Linked DNA regions of Lytechinus pictus. The protein of the gene in region 1 interacts with the protein of each later gene in a pairwise test. Links are inferred from orthologs where the notes say so. Each region holds a gene or a part of one and is shown in the gene's direction. Other genes may lie near its edges.

Evidence for each region.
Region 2: the proteins of anaphase-promoting complex subunit 2-like (region 1) and anaphase-promoting complex subunit 11-like interact in a two-hybrid assay, tested with the Drosophila melanogaster proteins (2 studies listed by BioGRID). The link is inferred for Lytechinus pictus from reciprocal best matches to the Drosophila melanogaster genes mr and lmgA.

What each region holds. Positions count from the first base shown.
Region 1 is NC_087259.1:2,283,013-2,292,095, forward strand, and holds the start of anaphase-promoting complex subunit 2-like, read left to right. Parts: upstream 1-4,141; 5' UTR 4,142-4,155; coding exon 4,156-4,230; intron 4,231-8,263; coding exon 8,264-8,847; intron 8,848-9,083. Other genes in the region: endoplasmic reticulum transmembrane helix translocase-like, read right to left, coding at 3,688-3,942.
Region 2 is NC_087249.1:3,772,686-3,781,508, reverse strand, and holds the start of anaphase-promoting complex subunit 11-like, read left to right. Parts: upstream 1-4,535; 5' UTR 4,536-4,623; coding exon 4,624-4,664; intron 4,665-8,823.

The sequences.
Region 1 (9,083 bases):
TATTTTGATAAATAAGTGAATATTTGACCTGAAAAGATGCCTCAAACAGAATTTTCTTCCTCTATTTTCACTTGCGAATTGTGCAAAATTTTGTGTTTTCGGCACAAACATTATTTATATCATCAGAAAGCTCAAATTCTATACTTTCTTACAATGTCACTCTTGATATGTGGCATCTTTTAGATGGGTCAGCAGCCAGCTTTTTCCATCAAGATGCAAGACGAGATTTCTGAATTTTTTGAGTAGCATAAAATCCAGAGTTCTGATTGGCTGAATAATGTTTTCAAAACAGGCGAAGGTATTATTTGAAGAGATAAGGCCTGGGGAACATTGGAATTTGCGTGGGTGTGTGGTCTCTATGACCAATCAGAGCGCAGTATTCTTGTTTTTGAGCTGGTAAATGTACTTGGCCTATGAAAAGCTGGCTGCTGACCCATCTAAAATACCTCTTCTTTTAAAAATTATATCATATTAAAGCTTAGATCTTCAGCTTTATCATAATCTAAAAATCATTTGGGCTCAAACAGAAATTATGTGGAAAAATAACAACTTTTGTTGCATGAAAATAATTACTTTCTATTGTGTTTTAGATCAAAAGTTTCACCTATATTACACAATCTTTTTAAAAATCCAAACACATGACCTGAAAGAATGATTCTTCTTCTTTACAAAGATACCAAAAACATGAAATTTTGTCAATATTTAGAGCACCAATAACCGGTGTGTTGGCTCAGTTGGTAGAGCGTCCGTCTCACAACCGGGAGGTCGGGGGTTCAAACCCCGGCCGCGTCAGACCAAAAGACGTTAAAAGATGGGAGTTGCTGCTACCCTGTTTGGCGTTCAACAATTAAAGGGATAGAGCCTCGTCGATCTGGCGCTGCACAGTGGCTGCCGGGCCCACGATCAATTGGGCAAAACAAATTTTCGGAGTAATTCATTTCTGGTGTCTATTTTGAACTACATGTATAAAATATGGATTTTAAGATTTTTTTTTTGAAAGATAAAAAGAGGCACCAAGCTCATTAACAATGCAAAAACCCTCTAGTCATGAATATCACCTAGATAAAAGAAGCTACTTTTTCAGGGCTTGCCGCTTGACTGGACACACAACCTGTCCGGACGCACGACCACTGGTAAGTGCTATAGAGTGAGTGATTGTATTACCGACCGGCTTGTATTACCAAACGCGCGCATCATACGCGTCAGTATATCATTTCATCCACTCAAAACTTTGCAACATCCTTCCAAACAGAACTTGAATAGAAAGATGATGAAAAATTGTCAAAATCACATTTTCAAAAGTCTTAATATTCTAAAAATAATAAAATATGGTCAAAATAGCTCATCAGTGATTTTGTTGTTTTCTCAATTATAGAAAACACACATTCGGTAATACGATACCTTTTTCAAGTGACCAAAATATTTCACATGCGAAGAGGGGTCAGATTGGCAGCAGAGGCGCACGGCCAATATTGGAGACTGTCTCCCATGAGAGAGATTATCTCCAATATCGGAGACTTTTGTAAAGAATTTGGGTATCCAATTTCAGAGACAGTCTCCAGTTTGGGAGGCCAAATTCCTTTGTTTACATTTGCTTCAAAAGGATTACCTTGGCGGCAAATAAAAATGTGATAAGCAGATTCCTCATAAAAAATTACCGTAAGTAACGGTGTATTAACCGCACCTTTTTCTCGGCGGGATATAAGCAAAAGTCGGGGGTGCGGTTTATACACGGTGACGGGTCTGAGCCCGCCCGCGTAGCCCCTCCCGAACATGTAAGAAGTCTGCCAGTTCACAACACATCGAGTGGCCGGCCGTAGCCGCCCAGTGCAATGTCGTTTAGAGGGGTATGAGCCGCGGGTAATGGGTAGCGATTATTATGATCTTATGATCAAATACTGTCGTAACAAATGCACCCACCTTCATGACACTAATTTCGACTTTATTCTCGATTCAAAGCAGCAAAGTTCCCTGGCTAAGTTCATAGAGACGCCAAGCATTCTCGGTGATAATTTGTCACAGCTGAGCGAGAGCCAAGAGCTAGCGCTAGCTTGCGTTGTATTTTGGTTTTAGTGCGACTTAAGCTGGCGCTATTCATTTAATTTAACCCCTCAAAGTCCCGTTTCGCGCCAGCTTATTTTTTTCTTTCCCGTTTGCTTTTCATAAGATACCATGTACACCGTGCACCACGCACGATAGAGACGGCACAAAGCCGTCAAACAACTGGAAAAAATACAAATTTCTTTGTTTCTTGAACCTTCCTGTAATCCCGTATCCAAAATTCATGCTAAGACATCGAATGCTAGACAAATTCTGAAAGTGATTGTGAGGTTGTGATGCAAGAAATGTGAAAGACACAGATCACAATTTGATAAGATGTACTGGTAGTGGTACCGTATCGAAGTTTGAAATGTACATGTACAAGAAAGGCAGTGCTGTGTGTGTGTACACTGTGCTGTGACTGTGAGGTGAGTGAGTGTGTAAATTGCCAATATTGGCGGGACCTTTCTTTCTTGCTAACATTTGTAGATGAATTGATCAAGAACAGCAGATTTCTGCACACTGGTAATCTCTTTGAATACTTTGAAATCTTTAACTTAGTTTTTGTTTCTTCGTACCTCAAATATGCATGTAAATGTGAGGTTTTTTTTTTTTTTTTTTTTTTTTTTTTTTTTTTTTTTTTAGTCCAAAGTTGGGGGTGCGGTTTATACACGGGTGCGGTTAATACACCGTTACTTACGGTACCCCTTTTCACCGTCTACTTTAAAAATTCACCGTCTACTTTTGTTTTGATAAGGATTTTTGTTGTCATCCACACACAAAACAAATGGGCTTCTGACCTCAGCGGGACAAAATTTTGGGTGGAAAAAATTATGCTTTTAATTTTGTTGGTGTCGTTTCTTTTGTTCTTTTGCAAAGCAAGTCTCTAATATGGGAGATTATCTTCCACATTGGAGAGAGTCTCCCATATTGGCCGTGCACCTGTACTGATTGGAAGCTAATATCGTAAAAAAGAAAAAAGATTTTAGCAAAATTTTTACATATTTATATTTTGTAGGTACGGTAATTGTGTATCTATATATTTTTTTATGAGTATGGTGAAAGATTGATGAATTTTATGACAATAATGTGTTTGATATGATTGAATTCATAGAAAAGTGTTCGATAATACAATCCACTACAAAGTACAGCTTGCGCTTGCTGGTTAGTGATAATTAGGTCGGTCGCACATGCGCAGATAGTTTTCAGTTACCGTCCAGGGGCCGATTGCACGAAAGGGTCTTTCCAAGGACCGTCTTTCGTGTCGCCCATCTTTTATGATGCGCTATAAGCAGGGTGGTGTTTCTGAAATTTATGATGAACAAATAAAATTCGTAAGCTTGCTTTTAAATCAAATTTTATAAAATTTCATGAGATATCAGATCATTTTATAAACAAATATTTTGTTTATTTTAACGGACAAATAAAATATAGGCCTATTTGCAGATAATTTATTTGAAATGCGTTTCACATGGCGTATCATAAAAGATGGGCGACACGAAAGACGGTCCTTGGAAAGACCCTTTCGTGCAATCGGCCCCAAGATTTCTCCCGTCGGCCGTCGCAGATTGAAAGCCCTGCCGCGCCGCGGCCCCAACCGGCGCCGGGCTCCTCCGGCGGCGAGGCAGAGCTCGTTGATTTACGTACCTTCCTGCATGTGAGCGAACACCTCACGTGTATTGACCAATGGCAGAACAAGCAGACCAAAATTTGGACACATCCTATGGCTGCTAAAACGATCAATCCAGCTTCCAAATATTCACTGACCCCATAGGCAACCACCAAAAGATATAGCCATGCAATGTATATAAATATAAATGGGAAAATATATCCATGGAGGACTAAGGGCCGCAAATTATATGAGGTGACACTCTCAATTTTTTCTTCCATGGAAGGTGCCATATTGGAAAAAGGTACAATGATTACAATTCACTTGTTAATATGATTAGATTTTATTTTTTTAATACCAATATATTGATCAATTTGTCATTCTCAAAAAATACTAAAGAATATATATATTATTTTCAATCTGAAAATATAGTTTATGAATTATTTACTTGAAATTTTGATTGCTTCATAATATAGACTGAGCGCCAATTTCTGATTGGTTTGAATATGGCTGCATATACTTCAGTCAATTTAGCTTGGGATGAAGTCACAAAATGTCTCTCAAACATCACTTTCCATACGGTGAGACCAATGAAATCGTATTTTATCGTAGATAATTACATGATATCTAGTAATTGTGTGAGATTATTTGATTGAATTGTTGTAGAAAGATATAAATTGTGATCAAACAATGGCTTAAATGTCACTTGATAAAATCCTGCCAGAACTTAGACATGGAAGAGCTCGGGCTCATCTTCGGGGTCGGGCTGTATGGGGGAGCGACCGGGCTGAGCTGTGGCTGTGCGGACGAGCTTATCTTCTGCCGGCTGCGTACTCTGCCAGCCAAGACTCAACTTCTAAACTTGAGTCAAGAGCCCCGAGTTCCATATTTATGATGAATGATTTAAAAACAACTATGATCTACTATAGCTAGGCCCCAGATCAGGGTTGGGCTCAATTACAATTTTTACAAAGCAAAGCAATTCATGAATTAGATCTAGATCTAAAGCCAAACTAGGGAAAGTAATAAGTTAGTAATTGAAAAATTGTTTGACTTCAATTACTGTCGATTACTTTTAATCCGGGCTTATGATTAGATCTACTTTCAATTACATTGTCTTTATTAGGCCTAGATCTACTTACTTTATTATTTAATTTACTCTGGATTGCTTATTTCTCTTTTCCCATAGCTATAAAAGTAATATCTTTTGCATGCAACTGTAGGCCTATCCTTTCCCATTAATATGTAGAGGAAAGAGGAGACACTTGACCATTTGAAATATTTGAGAAATTTTGCAAAAGGTCATACTCATAGGTTCCAACAAGAATTGAGAAATCAAACTATGTAATTTTTCATATTAGCAAAGCTACATTTCTTATATTATAATTTCATGCAGTGGCCTCATTTGTTTGTAACAATAAATGTTAGATGTTAAATCTGTATACTTAAATTTGGAATAGCCTACCCCCCTCAAAAAAAAAAAAAATCAGCTTTAAGTGGGTGATTGCGAAAAATGTGGATGAAAAATACTTTTTTTACTGCCCCCTCCCCTATAGGTGAAAGCTGGATCCGCCCTTTGCACGACTCAAAGTCAAGTTTACATGTTGTACATTATGATTTCTACATATGAAGAAAGCATGCAGATCTACATTTTATTGAGAATTTCAATTGAAACAGAGCAATAGGCAGGATCAATGCTCTCTAAACTAATAAAACCTTCATGTCAGTTTCTCTCTAACTTATAATTATGTTGAAATGGGTGGCACTACATTTAAAATATGAATTGATTTCATTTATGACTTTATTAAAAGTAATTGAAATTGTAATTGATAAAAGTAATTGGTAATTGTAATTGAAGAAAGTTATTGAGCCCAACTCTGCCCCAGATGCGTAGACGTAGACTTAATTAATATCCTTGGCAAGGGCTGGGCAAGGCCGCTTAACTTTAAACAAGGACAAAGACTGATGTGATGCCGTGGCAAAGATAATTAAATCATCATCATCATTGTACAGAAGAAGTAGGTAATCCTGTATTAGTGCTTCCGATCATTCCTTTGAGATTACTTTTACTGGTTTTTAAAAACAACTGATTAACGTGTGTGGAGGGTGGACATAGCCAGGAGGCTCCTAGAGAGTAAAAATCATTCACTAACGTGTGCTCTCCACGGAGTCGGGGATTGCGTCCCATTCATGTGCTTGTACCACAAAAAAAATTGAAATTTTCGCCCCCAGAATTCCTACTTTCCTTCTAAGATCTAGCCTTAAATCATGTAAATGGGATACAACTTCATTTCCGACATTTATACGATATTGATTCCATTTTTGTCTCACCTGCATAGCAGAGTGAGACTATAGGCGCCGCTTTTCCGACGGCGGAGACGTCAACCCCAAATCTTAACCAAAGGTTAAGTTTTTGAAATGACAGCATAACTTAGAAAGTATATGGACCTAGTTCATGAAACTTGGCCATAAGGTTAATCAAGTATTACTGAACATCCTGCCTGAGTTTCATGTCACATGACTAAGGTCAAAGGTCATTTAGGGTCAATGAACTTAGACCATGTCGGGGGAATCAACATCAAAATCTTAACCTAAGGTTAAGTTTTTGAAATGTCAACATAACTTAGAAAATATATGGACCTAGTTCATCAAACTTGGCCATAAGGTTAATCAAGTATTACTGAACATCCTGCATGAGTTTCACATCACATGACCAAGGTCAAAGGTCATTTAGGGCCAATGAACTTTGGCCAAGTTGGGGGTATCTGTTGAATTACCATCATAACTTTGAAAGTTTATGGATCTGATTCATGAAACTTGGACATAATAGTAATCAAGTATCACTGAACATCCTGTGCAAGTTTCAGGTCACATGATTAAGGTCAAAGCTCATTTAGGGTCAATGAACTTTGGCCAAATTAGGGGTATTTGTTGAATTACCATCATAACTTTGAAAGTATATTGGTCTAGTTCATAAAACTTGGACATAAGAGTAATCAAGTATCACTGAACATCCTGTGCGCCTTTCAGGTCACATGACCAAGGTCAAAGGTCAATGAACTTTGGCCATAATGGGGGTATCTGTTGAATTACCATCATAACTTTGAAAGTTTATGGATCTGACTCATGAATCTTGGACATAAGAGTCGTCAAGTATCAGTGAACATCTCAGTGAGTTTCAGGTCACATGACCAAATTCAAAGGTCATTTAGGGTCAATGAACTTTGGCCATGTTTTTTTTTTTTGTTGAATTACCATATCTCTGTAAGTGTATTGGTCTAGATCATAAAACGTGGACATGAGAGTAACCAAGTATCACTGAACATCTTGTGCGAGTTTCAGGTCACATGACCAAGGTCAAAGGTCAATGGATATTGGCCATGTTGGGGGTATTTGTTGTCAAATTACCATCATAACTCTGTAATTTTATTGGTCTAGTTCATAAAACGTAGACATAAGAGTTCACATGACCAAACTCAAAGGTCATTTAAGGTCATTGAACTTTGGCCATTTTAGAGGTAATTATTAGATTGCTGTCATAACTTTCAAAGTTTATATAACTGTATAAAATGTGGATATAGGGGTAATCAAGTATCACTGACAAGTTTTAGGTCACATCAAGGTCAAATGTCAATGAACGTAGTATTGTATCATATGAATGGGTTCTTTTTGTGAATAATTATTAAAAGGTTGTTTTTCAAAGTCAGCACTGCTGCTATATTGAATCGCGTGATGCAGGTGAGACCGCCAGAGGCATTCAACTTGTTGAACAAAAAATTCATTAAAAAAAACGAGAGAAATATCGCGAGAAGACTGGGGAAAACCTTGCCAATGTTTACGTCGCCATCTTGTTCTCTTTTGTCCTTCGCCAAGCTACAAGATGCATATCAGAGGATGTGCGTCTTGTTAGCACTAACAATGCGCTAACAGAGGCCCTGTTTCAACTGGTTATGTGGTAGCGATGGCAAATGTTACAACAATACATTACTTGTAAACACAAATAAATATTTTGACTTCACAATCTGAAAGATGTGACTGGGCTTACTGTTAGCGCTATGTAAGGCTAACAACGTTTCTGTGAGGCCGGCACTGGAGCTCACCGTTGAACAACAACACAAAAATATTCACCAAGATTATAATGAAAGAAAAGTATTTCTGTTATTGAATAGATCCATATTATTGTCAAAATACTTTTTTTTAAGTGTTGTGTTGCAAATAGACAAGGTGGTTGCAGACTTCAAGTGAAATGCGAATGGGTTTCTGACGTGACTGTAGACTGAAACAGACATGAAATTTTAAAAAAAAATCCCCCGAAGACAGTTATTCTAATATGACCTCAATCTTAGACAAAATTATGTTTGGGAGAAAATTGCCTTGGTAATGATGCAGTATCTTGTTTTCTTTTGTAAAGCAAATATGGGAGATTGTTTCCCATATTGGCCACGCATCTCTGTTGATGGTCTGTAGATGATAGATCTAGACCTTGTATATAAAAAGAAGAAAATTCCCTTTAAGAAAACAAACAATGAACTAAATGGCAAGTGCTGCTCATAGAGAGAATTAAAAATAAATACTTCCTGAGGAGTGCTAATGACTTTTTTTTTCCATTTACAGGATGATGATGATGGGAGGGATGCAAGGATCAAGCCGGCGATGGAGTTCCTGCAGGACCAAGGATTAGGGACCCTTGTTACGGAATGGTTCATGGAGACCTTCCAGCAAGATCTACAGAGCAGGATTGCGCCAAACTACTGGTCAACCTTCAAGATTGACGACACTTCGTCCACAACGCTCTGCTTGGATTGCCTCACCCGTGGAATAAACATTCTCCACTCCTCTCTCATTCCATACACCAACAGTCTCAATCTGCTTACTGGCTACCTTTCCGTTGAGGGTCAGGATCTTAAAGAGCGCTTTGATGTTCTTGTGAAGGCACTTCTCTTCTATCGCACTCCAATGCACTTTTCTGAAGTCGTGAAAACTGTATACTCATCCGTCTTCAAGGCGTTTAGTGACAGTGATGGCAAGAATGAGCGAATCAGAACGAGCGATGATAGTGAGATGGATATGGATGAGAGTACAGACATTGAGAAGGATGATGAGGAGGAGGAGCAGGAGGAGGGAAGAGACTCAGAACACACAACAGCACCTTCTCACTCTGATACCCTATCAGCTTTTCATCAAATAAATGCACAGTTGTAAGTATTTCTTGATGATATGTTGGATGTTGTCTTGTAGAAACTGATTATGGTTTCTGAGATTCTTTCCCCCTTTCCATGACCTGACATCTTGATGATTGAGAGCTAGTTGTGTGTGAACTGTTTAGTTAGTCTTATGTAAGAGGTTGTATGCATACATTTCAAATTTATACAAAAATTCATGTATATTTGGTAAATAAGCAAAAAGAAAATATTTTAATGGTTCAATATTAGCT
Region 2 (8,823 bases), on another chromosome or scaffold:
GAAGCCAATTTAAAAGGAGGTGAGGCAAGTTTCAATGGAGGTTTTTAAAAAAGAATAAACTGTACTACAAATTTGAAAGGAGGTGAGGCAAGTTTCAATGGAGGTTTTTAAAAAGAATAAACTGTACTACAAATTATGGTGAAGCCAATTTAAAAGGAGGTGAGGCAAGCCTCAATGGAGGTATTTAAAAAGAATAAACTGTATTATGGTGAAGCCAATTTAAAAGGAGGTGAGGCAAGTTTTAATGGAGGTTTTTAAAAAGAATAAACTGTATTATGGTGAAGCCAGTTTAAAAGGAGGTGAGGCAAGTTTCAATGGAGGTTTTTAAAAAAGAATAAACTGTACTACAAATTTAAAAGGAGGCGACGCAAGTTGATCAATAGAGGTTTTTAAAAAGAATAAACTGTATTACAAATTATGGTGAAGCCAATTTAAAAGGAGGTGAGGTAATTAGTTAATGGAGGTTTTTAAAAAGAATAAACTGTATTACAAGTTATGGTGAAGGCAATTTGAGAGGAGGTGAGGCATGTCTACAATGATTTTTTTTAAAGAATGATAAGTGTAGAATATAATTCAAATGATGAAGCCATCTTGAGAGGTGCATGAGGCAAGTCTTCAATGAGGTTTCTAAAAACAATGAATAGTGAAGAGAAAGATCGCAATTGCTTTTAATAATCCACAAAATTGTGTAGTTATTTATTTCATGCAAATTGCTATTAATTGATTATGCTCATTTGTGCATAATTAGTATACTATACCTATTCCTCTAACTCCCTAAATAAAGCTCCAAATGTTCTAATTTTTGGTTTAGAAACTCTTTGTGGTGTTCTTCGATAATGTATTTCTTGTGTTTTTACCTTTGTATTGCATTGTTTTTTTTCAACGATGCTCGATCGGACTCTCGTAACAGATAAAATAAATCAGTTTAGTTCAACAAAACTAAAAACAATTAGGCATTCATGAATTTTGGTTGAAAACGCATATTCCATTGACGTGGTACACAAATATCACAATTTTGAGCCATTTTTGTCTGATATGCACTTACAAATTGTTTGGTAATTTTCAGAACCCAGTACCCGGGCTTCGCAAAACTGGTCTCAAAACATGCAAAAGACTTTTTTTTTAAATCGCAGAGCTCAGAGCCCCCCCCCCCCCCTGCGTAAATAGGTTAAGTTTGCATTAATTTTGAACTTTTCCATTCCCAAATACGTAATATCCCCTCCCCAAAAATGCAATTGTCACTGAAATGGAATATACATAATATATTTTTTAATAAGCCATATTTGCAAAATAATCATCATGTCATCCTTTGTCAACAAGAAATCTGTACATGTCCTCTGGAAGAAAATAATACCTCGGCCGCCTATTAAATTCTAAGTTTTTATTTTGTAAGTATTTTACTTAGCAATTTGGCTTGCTTATCAAAATGCTTAAACTTGTATGCAGATCAGATCTCAGAATTTACCTTATCCAAATTGAACTAAATACTAATACCCATTGTGATGTTATAAATTTTGAGCCAAATAGTGCCAAATGTGTGAATGTATTTCTGTGCGTATCATTTTTGTATATGTAGACTTAAGTCTAGTAGATGGCTGACTTACATTTAAGCAAAATATTTAGCCCAAAAAAAATGCAATTGAATACCAAAGATGGATAAGTATTTTACTTTTGCAAAATACTGAGTAAAATATACTTGAAATTGTGGCTTTAAGAGTAGCATTGAAAACCGGCCCTGTTCCTCATCATCATTATCATCCCACTACCACACCAGTTTCTGCAGCACAAACTTTAACTTTCATAGGTTGAGTCCATTTCAAAGCCAACACTCTCACTTTAACTTTTTTCTCTTATAACATGACGTCCACACACTGCCAATCACATCCTTACAACACCAACTGTCAGAGGACAACAGAACTGCAGTTACCATAGCATTACCCCCAAAACACCACTCAATTTTGAATTGATCCAAGTGAAATATGACTGTGTTGCACAAAAAAAAGCAATGTAGTCATAGTAGATTTTATTGACTTGTACATTCATAAGGCTATGCATATATTTTGAGTAATTGTTGTGTTGTCTTCAGTGATAGTTGGTCCCACTGTGCTTATGGCCAACTTTGGTAAAGGCATACATTGAATAAACTTTTATGTACTGAAAATGATGACAGAATATATGCTAAAAAAATAACATTACAAATGCATGACAGGTAATACAACATATTTCAACATGAACTATTTCACAATTTGCCAACATGACAATAAAAACTAACCTTAAAAAATAGTAGAAGCTGATGTTGGATGGAAAAGAATATTTTTGTCATACAGCTTGAAAGACATTACATATGTATGCCTCACCTCCTTTTAAATTGGCTTCACCATAATTTGTAGTACAGTTAATTATTTTTTTAAAACCTCCATTGAAACTTGCCTCACCTCCTTTTAAATTGGCTTCACCATAATACAGTTTATTCTTTTTAAATACCTCCATTGAGGCTTGCCTCACCTCCTTTTAAATTGGCTTCACCATAATTTGTAGTACAGTTTATTCTTTTTAAAAACCTCCATTGAAACTTGCCTCACCTCCTTTCAAATTTGTAGTACAGTCTATTCTTTTTTAAAAACCTCCATTGAAACTTGCCTCACCTCCTTTTAAATTGGCTTCACCATAATTTGTAGTACAGTTTATTCTTTTTTTAAAACCTCCATTGAAACTTGCCTCACCTCCTTTTGAATTGGCTTCACCATAATTTGTAGTACAGTTTATTCTTTTTTAAAAACCTAGCTCCATTGAAACTTGCCTCGCCTCCTTTTAAATTTGTAGTACAGTTTATTCTTTTTAAAAACCTCAATTGAAACTTGCCTCACCTCCTTTTAAATTGGCTTCACCATAATTTGTAGTACAGTTTATTCTTTTTTTAAAACCTCCATTGAAACTTGCCTCACCTCCTTTTGAATTGGCTTCACCATAATTTGTAGTACAGTTTATTCTTTTTTAAAAACCTCCATTGAAACTTGCCTCGCCTCCTTTTAAATTTGTAGTACAGTTTATTCTTTTTAAAAACCTCAATTGAAACTTGCCTCACCTCCTTTTAAATTGGCTTCACCATATAATTTGTAGTACAGTTTATTCTTTTTAAAAACCTCCATTGAAACTTGCCTCACCTCCTTTTGAATTGGCTTCACCATAATACAGTTTATTCTTTTTAAAAACCTCCATTAAAACTTGCCTCACCTCCTTTTAAATTGGCTTCACCATAATACAGTTTATTCTTTTTAAAAACCTCCATTGAAACTTGCCTCACCTCCTCTTAAATTGGCTTCACCATAATACAGTTTATTCTTTTTAAAAACTTCCATTAAAACTTGCCTCACCTCCTTTTAAATTGGCTTCACCATAATTTGTAGTGCAGTTTATTCTTTTTTTAAAACCTCCATTGAAACTTGCCTCACCTCCTTTTGAATTGGCTTCACCATAATTTGTAGTACAGTTTATTCTTTTTTAAAAACCTCCATTGAAACTTGCCTCGCCTCCTTTTAAATTTGTAGTACAGTTTATTCTTTTTAAAAACCTCAATTGAAACTTGCCTCACCTCCTTTTAAATTGGCTTCACCATAATTTGTAGTACAGTTTATTCTTTTTAAAAACCTCCATTGAAACTTGCCTCACCTCCTTTTAAATTGGCTTCACCATAATACAGTTTATTCTTTTTAAAAACCTCCATTAAAACTTGCCTCACCTCCTTTTAAATTGGCTTCACCATATAATACAGTTTATTCTTTTTTAAAACCTCCATTGAAACTTGTCTCACCTCCTTTTAAATTGGCTTCACCATAATATTCAGGTAAGGTATATTCATTCTTTTTTTTAAAAACATATCATTGTTCACTTCCCTCACCTAGATCATTTGGCTATATATAATACCTTTTATTCTACACTATTCTTCCCTTTAAAAAACCTGATTGTACTCCTGCCTCCCCTGATCTGACATTTGCCTCTCAACGTACTGGAAATAGATACCCTTTTTTCAATATTTTTGTGTTTTTGACACCCTTATCACGTTACGTACGTAACGTGCCCTCTCTTGAAAAAGACATCCTTTTTACGTGTTTTTTTTGGTCGCGCATGGTATCCACTCGTCAATGTAAGTGGCCCCCCGGGCGTACTGTACATAGTGTTATTTTATTATCTCTTTATATCGGAAACTTCGTTTTACCGAATTGCCATGCACTCTCTCCGACGCGTTTGAAGTCTTAGACAGCATGGCATACTACCAGCCGATGGTACACACACGCACACACACACACGTTATTTGACAACTTGTCTCTGGAGCCAAAGTTCCTCGCATATAACTATCTGCATGCCTGCACGCAGTGTGTATTGAACACGCACGACCACGATCTAATGAATATTCATCGGCGAGACTGACGTCATTTTACGAGTCTCCTTTCAAACTTGGATCATAAGTGCCTACCAATTTTCAAACGGATCACGAGCGAAGGTTCCGCCGATAGCTAGCTAGCCGCGCCGACTTCCAGCGCGCAGCGATCGATCGCAAGTGTACCGGTACCTGGGATTGCTCAAGACAGGGAGTCAAATCCGTTCTTAACGTTAAAGACAAAGATGAAAGTCAAGGTGAAAAGTAAGTTACATCACAAGCCATGGTATCCCGTAAGAATAGTCTGACTGAGCCGCATAAAGCTAGCCTACCCTCGGCTCAATTCAAGTCTAAATCGTCATGTCTCATGATGACCGTGTGTCCAGTTCGCCGGTTTGCAGCATACACCACCCGTTCGCTCGCCCGTTGTTGTCGATGTCGGGCTGCTTCGGCATGGAAGTCTGTAGCGTAGGGCTAGGCCTCTGCCACGTAACGGCCTCAATCAACTCAGCGGAGCGCGCCATTGAAACTAGCCTAGGCCTTCTCCTCTCGCCAAGCAATCTTGTAAGCAACACTTGTAAGCATCGCTTTGCTCCCTCTCCAAAATGTCTGCGATATTAAAATCCTTAAAAAAATGCTAAAAACAATGGAATCGTCATTATCGTTGAAATTTAGTAAGGCTAAGTATGAGTGATTATGACTGAGTATGAATATGACTTAGACAGCTGGCAGCCGTCTGTTTCGAGGAGTTTTTTAACATTTTTTTATTTTTTAAATTTCTCCTCATACACAGATGGCTCGCTATCGTGCAGCCACCATTAGGGGACTTACAATGCAAAATCCCCCCGTCGGGGCTCTTCAATTTTTGTCTTTAATGAATCAAACTTTTGAAAATTAACGCGACCGAAATGCAAATTAACATTCCCTCTTGGCATTAATTGCGAAAAAACGGGGAAAATCAAGTTAAAAGGAACAAAAACAGTGACTTACCTCGGCTGTCGCGCAACTTCACTGCCCTGTTTTATCCATACTTAAGGACGTTCCACAGTTAAAGTGAAATCCATGTCATTTTCACCAAACTTTGCACATAGATACTTTAGAACCTTACTATTCGAAATGTGCAAAATACAACATAGGTCCATGTGCTTGATTTTTTGCTATAGAGCTTCAAAGTTCACCCAAATTGATGTTCTTAAGAATTGCGCATTCGAAAGAATTTGGCATTTTTAGACCGCCCAAGATTACTACAATGAGTTTAAACCTCTATTACTCAGTCAAAATACATGAAAAAGTCATCAAATTTCGCAAGAGAGTTAATAATTGTATCGTTAGAATGGATAATCTATTTATAGTGCTATTTGTTTGCAATTTTAAGTTTAACAGCACTGTCAGTTCTTAAAAATGGGGTAAAAGATAACAAAATCCCAATCTAAAAAATGTGAAATTTTTAGTAACAAACTACAAAAGTACAATAAATGCTGCACTTTATTCAAAATCCATGTCATTTTCACCAGAATTTGCAGAGTTGTAGAGGAAGGTATACCTAAGAGGTACAAACATTAAAAAATAGGGGTTCATGTGCTTGTTTTTAAACTATCAGCATTTTTATTAGAGCAAATGTGCTTTTTAAAACACCAAAAATGCGCCGAATGCTTTGTATCTATGTGAAGAAAAAATCAAAACCACTATACCATTCATTCAAACTCGGTTTAATATTCGTGATTCTTGGCAGCACTGCAGAGTAAAGTATTTTGAAATTGTAGAGAATTTGTTTTTGAATGGTCCATGGAATAATTTCAGTTTTTAGCTTCATGAAATAATGCATCGGATCTGCAGTTAAAGTGCAGAAGATGAGAAAAATCAGCTCATACCCGCAGCTAATTAATCACCTGTTCATCCATTGTGACGTCAGCGCGCAGAGTGTAAACTATGCGCAGATCATAATGCGCACAAACATAACTGTGGAACGTCCTTAACACACATAAACATATGGCCATTGAGTCCCCTGTACAGATCGCGCTAGAACTTCGGTCTCTGTATTTGGTGAGTGAAGCCAACGGAGTTCAGCTGAACAACCAACATAACACTAGAGACCGAAGCTTTTGGTCTAGAATATGACTATGAGTCTGAATATGAATCATAAATGTTTATCATTTACATTACAAACACTTTTCATGAATTCAATCATATCAAACACATTATTCTCATAAAATTCACCAAACTTTCACCATAAATACACAATTACCTACAAAATATAAACATGTAAAAATTTTGCCGAAATCGTTTTTCCCTTTTACGATATTACTATTAGTATTAGCTTCCAATCGAACCCCTCTACACATTAATTTTTTGGTCACTTGAAAAAGGTATCGTATTACCGAAAATGTGTTTTTTCTATGGAAAAAGTTGAGAAAACAACAAAATCACTGATCATGCTGATGAGCTACTTTGAGTTTGACCATATTTTATTATTTTTAGAATATTAAGAGTGAAAAAAGTGTTTTTTACCATTTTTTATCATTTCTATTCAAGTTTCCTTTGGAAGGATGTAGCAAAGTTTGAGCGTATGAAATTATTTTCTGACGCGTACGATGCGCGCGTTCGGTAATACAAGGTCAAGGCCGGTCGGTAATGCAATCACCCACTATACCGAGTTTACAAGCAAATGTGGGAAAGACTTCGAATTATCAGTCATTTTGATGAGTGATACAAACTTCCCAAAATATATTAGCAGAAATTTGATATAAGCCTAACTTTGCAAAATCCTTATTTTTTAATATTTACTTAAATTTTAATACATTGAAAAAGCACTGTAGTACATTTGCTAGAATTTTCCCTAACCATGCTAACTGATAACGTTGGTGGATTTTTTTTCCTAGTTTTTTTAAAGAAATGGCAGGCATTTGAAATCCGGTAAATTTTTGTTATATTTGTAAAAAAAATCATTAGATTCAAATAACTTACTAATTGTTCGCCCGAAGAATGGTTATTTTGTCATATTGTTGTGTAAATAATACATAACAATAAGTCTAAGTAGGAGTGTAGCAATCCTAGTTGAGTAACCTTTTCCGCGATCCCATACTGGTGTCCGGTGGTATATTCCACATATCTTCTCCCCTTGCAATTGACCATTGTTCAGTTTTAGTGTTTAATTTTGACACTTGAACTGTGAAATTGATAGTTTACCGATATATAAAAATGCTGGGAATTTACCTGACACATACATGATTTTATTTTCGAGGATTATTATTTCTTTGCTGAATTACCAAAAGTCAAGTTTAGGTCAAGATTGTGTAACATTGTCTTTATAATGATATAGTTGTCAAGGTTTGGGGAATATTGGTTTGCCCATTATAGTAACCCCAGTCAGTTACTCGCTGTATATTAAACACAAAATAAAGGACATTTCGTACAAAATTATTCCCCGGCCACTTCCACAAACATAATATAGAAGCCAACCCTGCGCCCCCCCCCCCCCCCGGCTCCCATTAGTTCAAATCAAAGCAATATTTACAACAATTTTGAATAATACAACGGCAATATTACCTAGCTCTCGTACGTGATTCTAAAGTATTATCATGGTGAGGAGATAATTAGGGAAGTAAAAGATGTAATATCATCTCTTCCAATGGATGTAGACATAACAAGATCCAAGATGATCTTTGTAGGTTTGTATGGTGGAGTACTGGAGTTTATAATGTGGAGAAGGTTTACAGTTCACCACGTGTAATATGAAGAAGGGAAGGAAATACAGGCAGAAAGATTGAAATGGAAAGACGAGATAGGATGAAAAGAGGAAATTAGAAGTATTCTTTTCGTGAAAGTGAGTGAAGGCCTGAAAAGGACTGTAAACCAGATGAGATGAGCTGAATATGGCTTGAATAGCGATGGTTTGAGTAGTAGCAGGATGAAGTGAAGAGAGGTTATTCGACGTTTCGGGCAGGCTGACTCTCCGTCTTCAGGAGTAAAGGATGCTAAACAAGCAGGGTTACTTATGGTGAGAAAGCAGACGTCGCAGGAATCGGTGGCCGGTCGGGTCGGCGGCGGGTGGTCAGTGGTGGCGCTATGACTTCGTGGATTTGTGTTGGCGTGAGTGCGGACGTTGGAGGAATTGGTGGCGGGCCGGGTCGGCTGTGAAGTTCCTTGGTGTATGTTTGATAGGCGTGGGCAGAGATTATAGCGGCATCGTTGTGTCGGCGGTGCGGCGATGTCAGGTGTGGGGGATGCGGCAGCTTGGGTTGTGAGTGGTGTGGTAGGCTTGGTCGTCGGCGGAGCAGCAGGCTTGGTTGTCAAGATCCAAGATCTTGTCGTCTGATCATCTTCTAAAAGATGTAGACATGACGATATCCAAGCTCTTGTAATCTGATCATGTCTCCCACGGAATGTAGGCATGACGATATGGAAGATCACGTCATCTGATCATTCCTTTTACAGGATTCAAGATC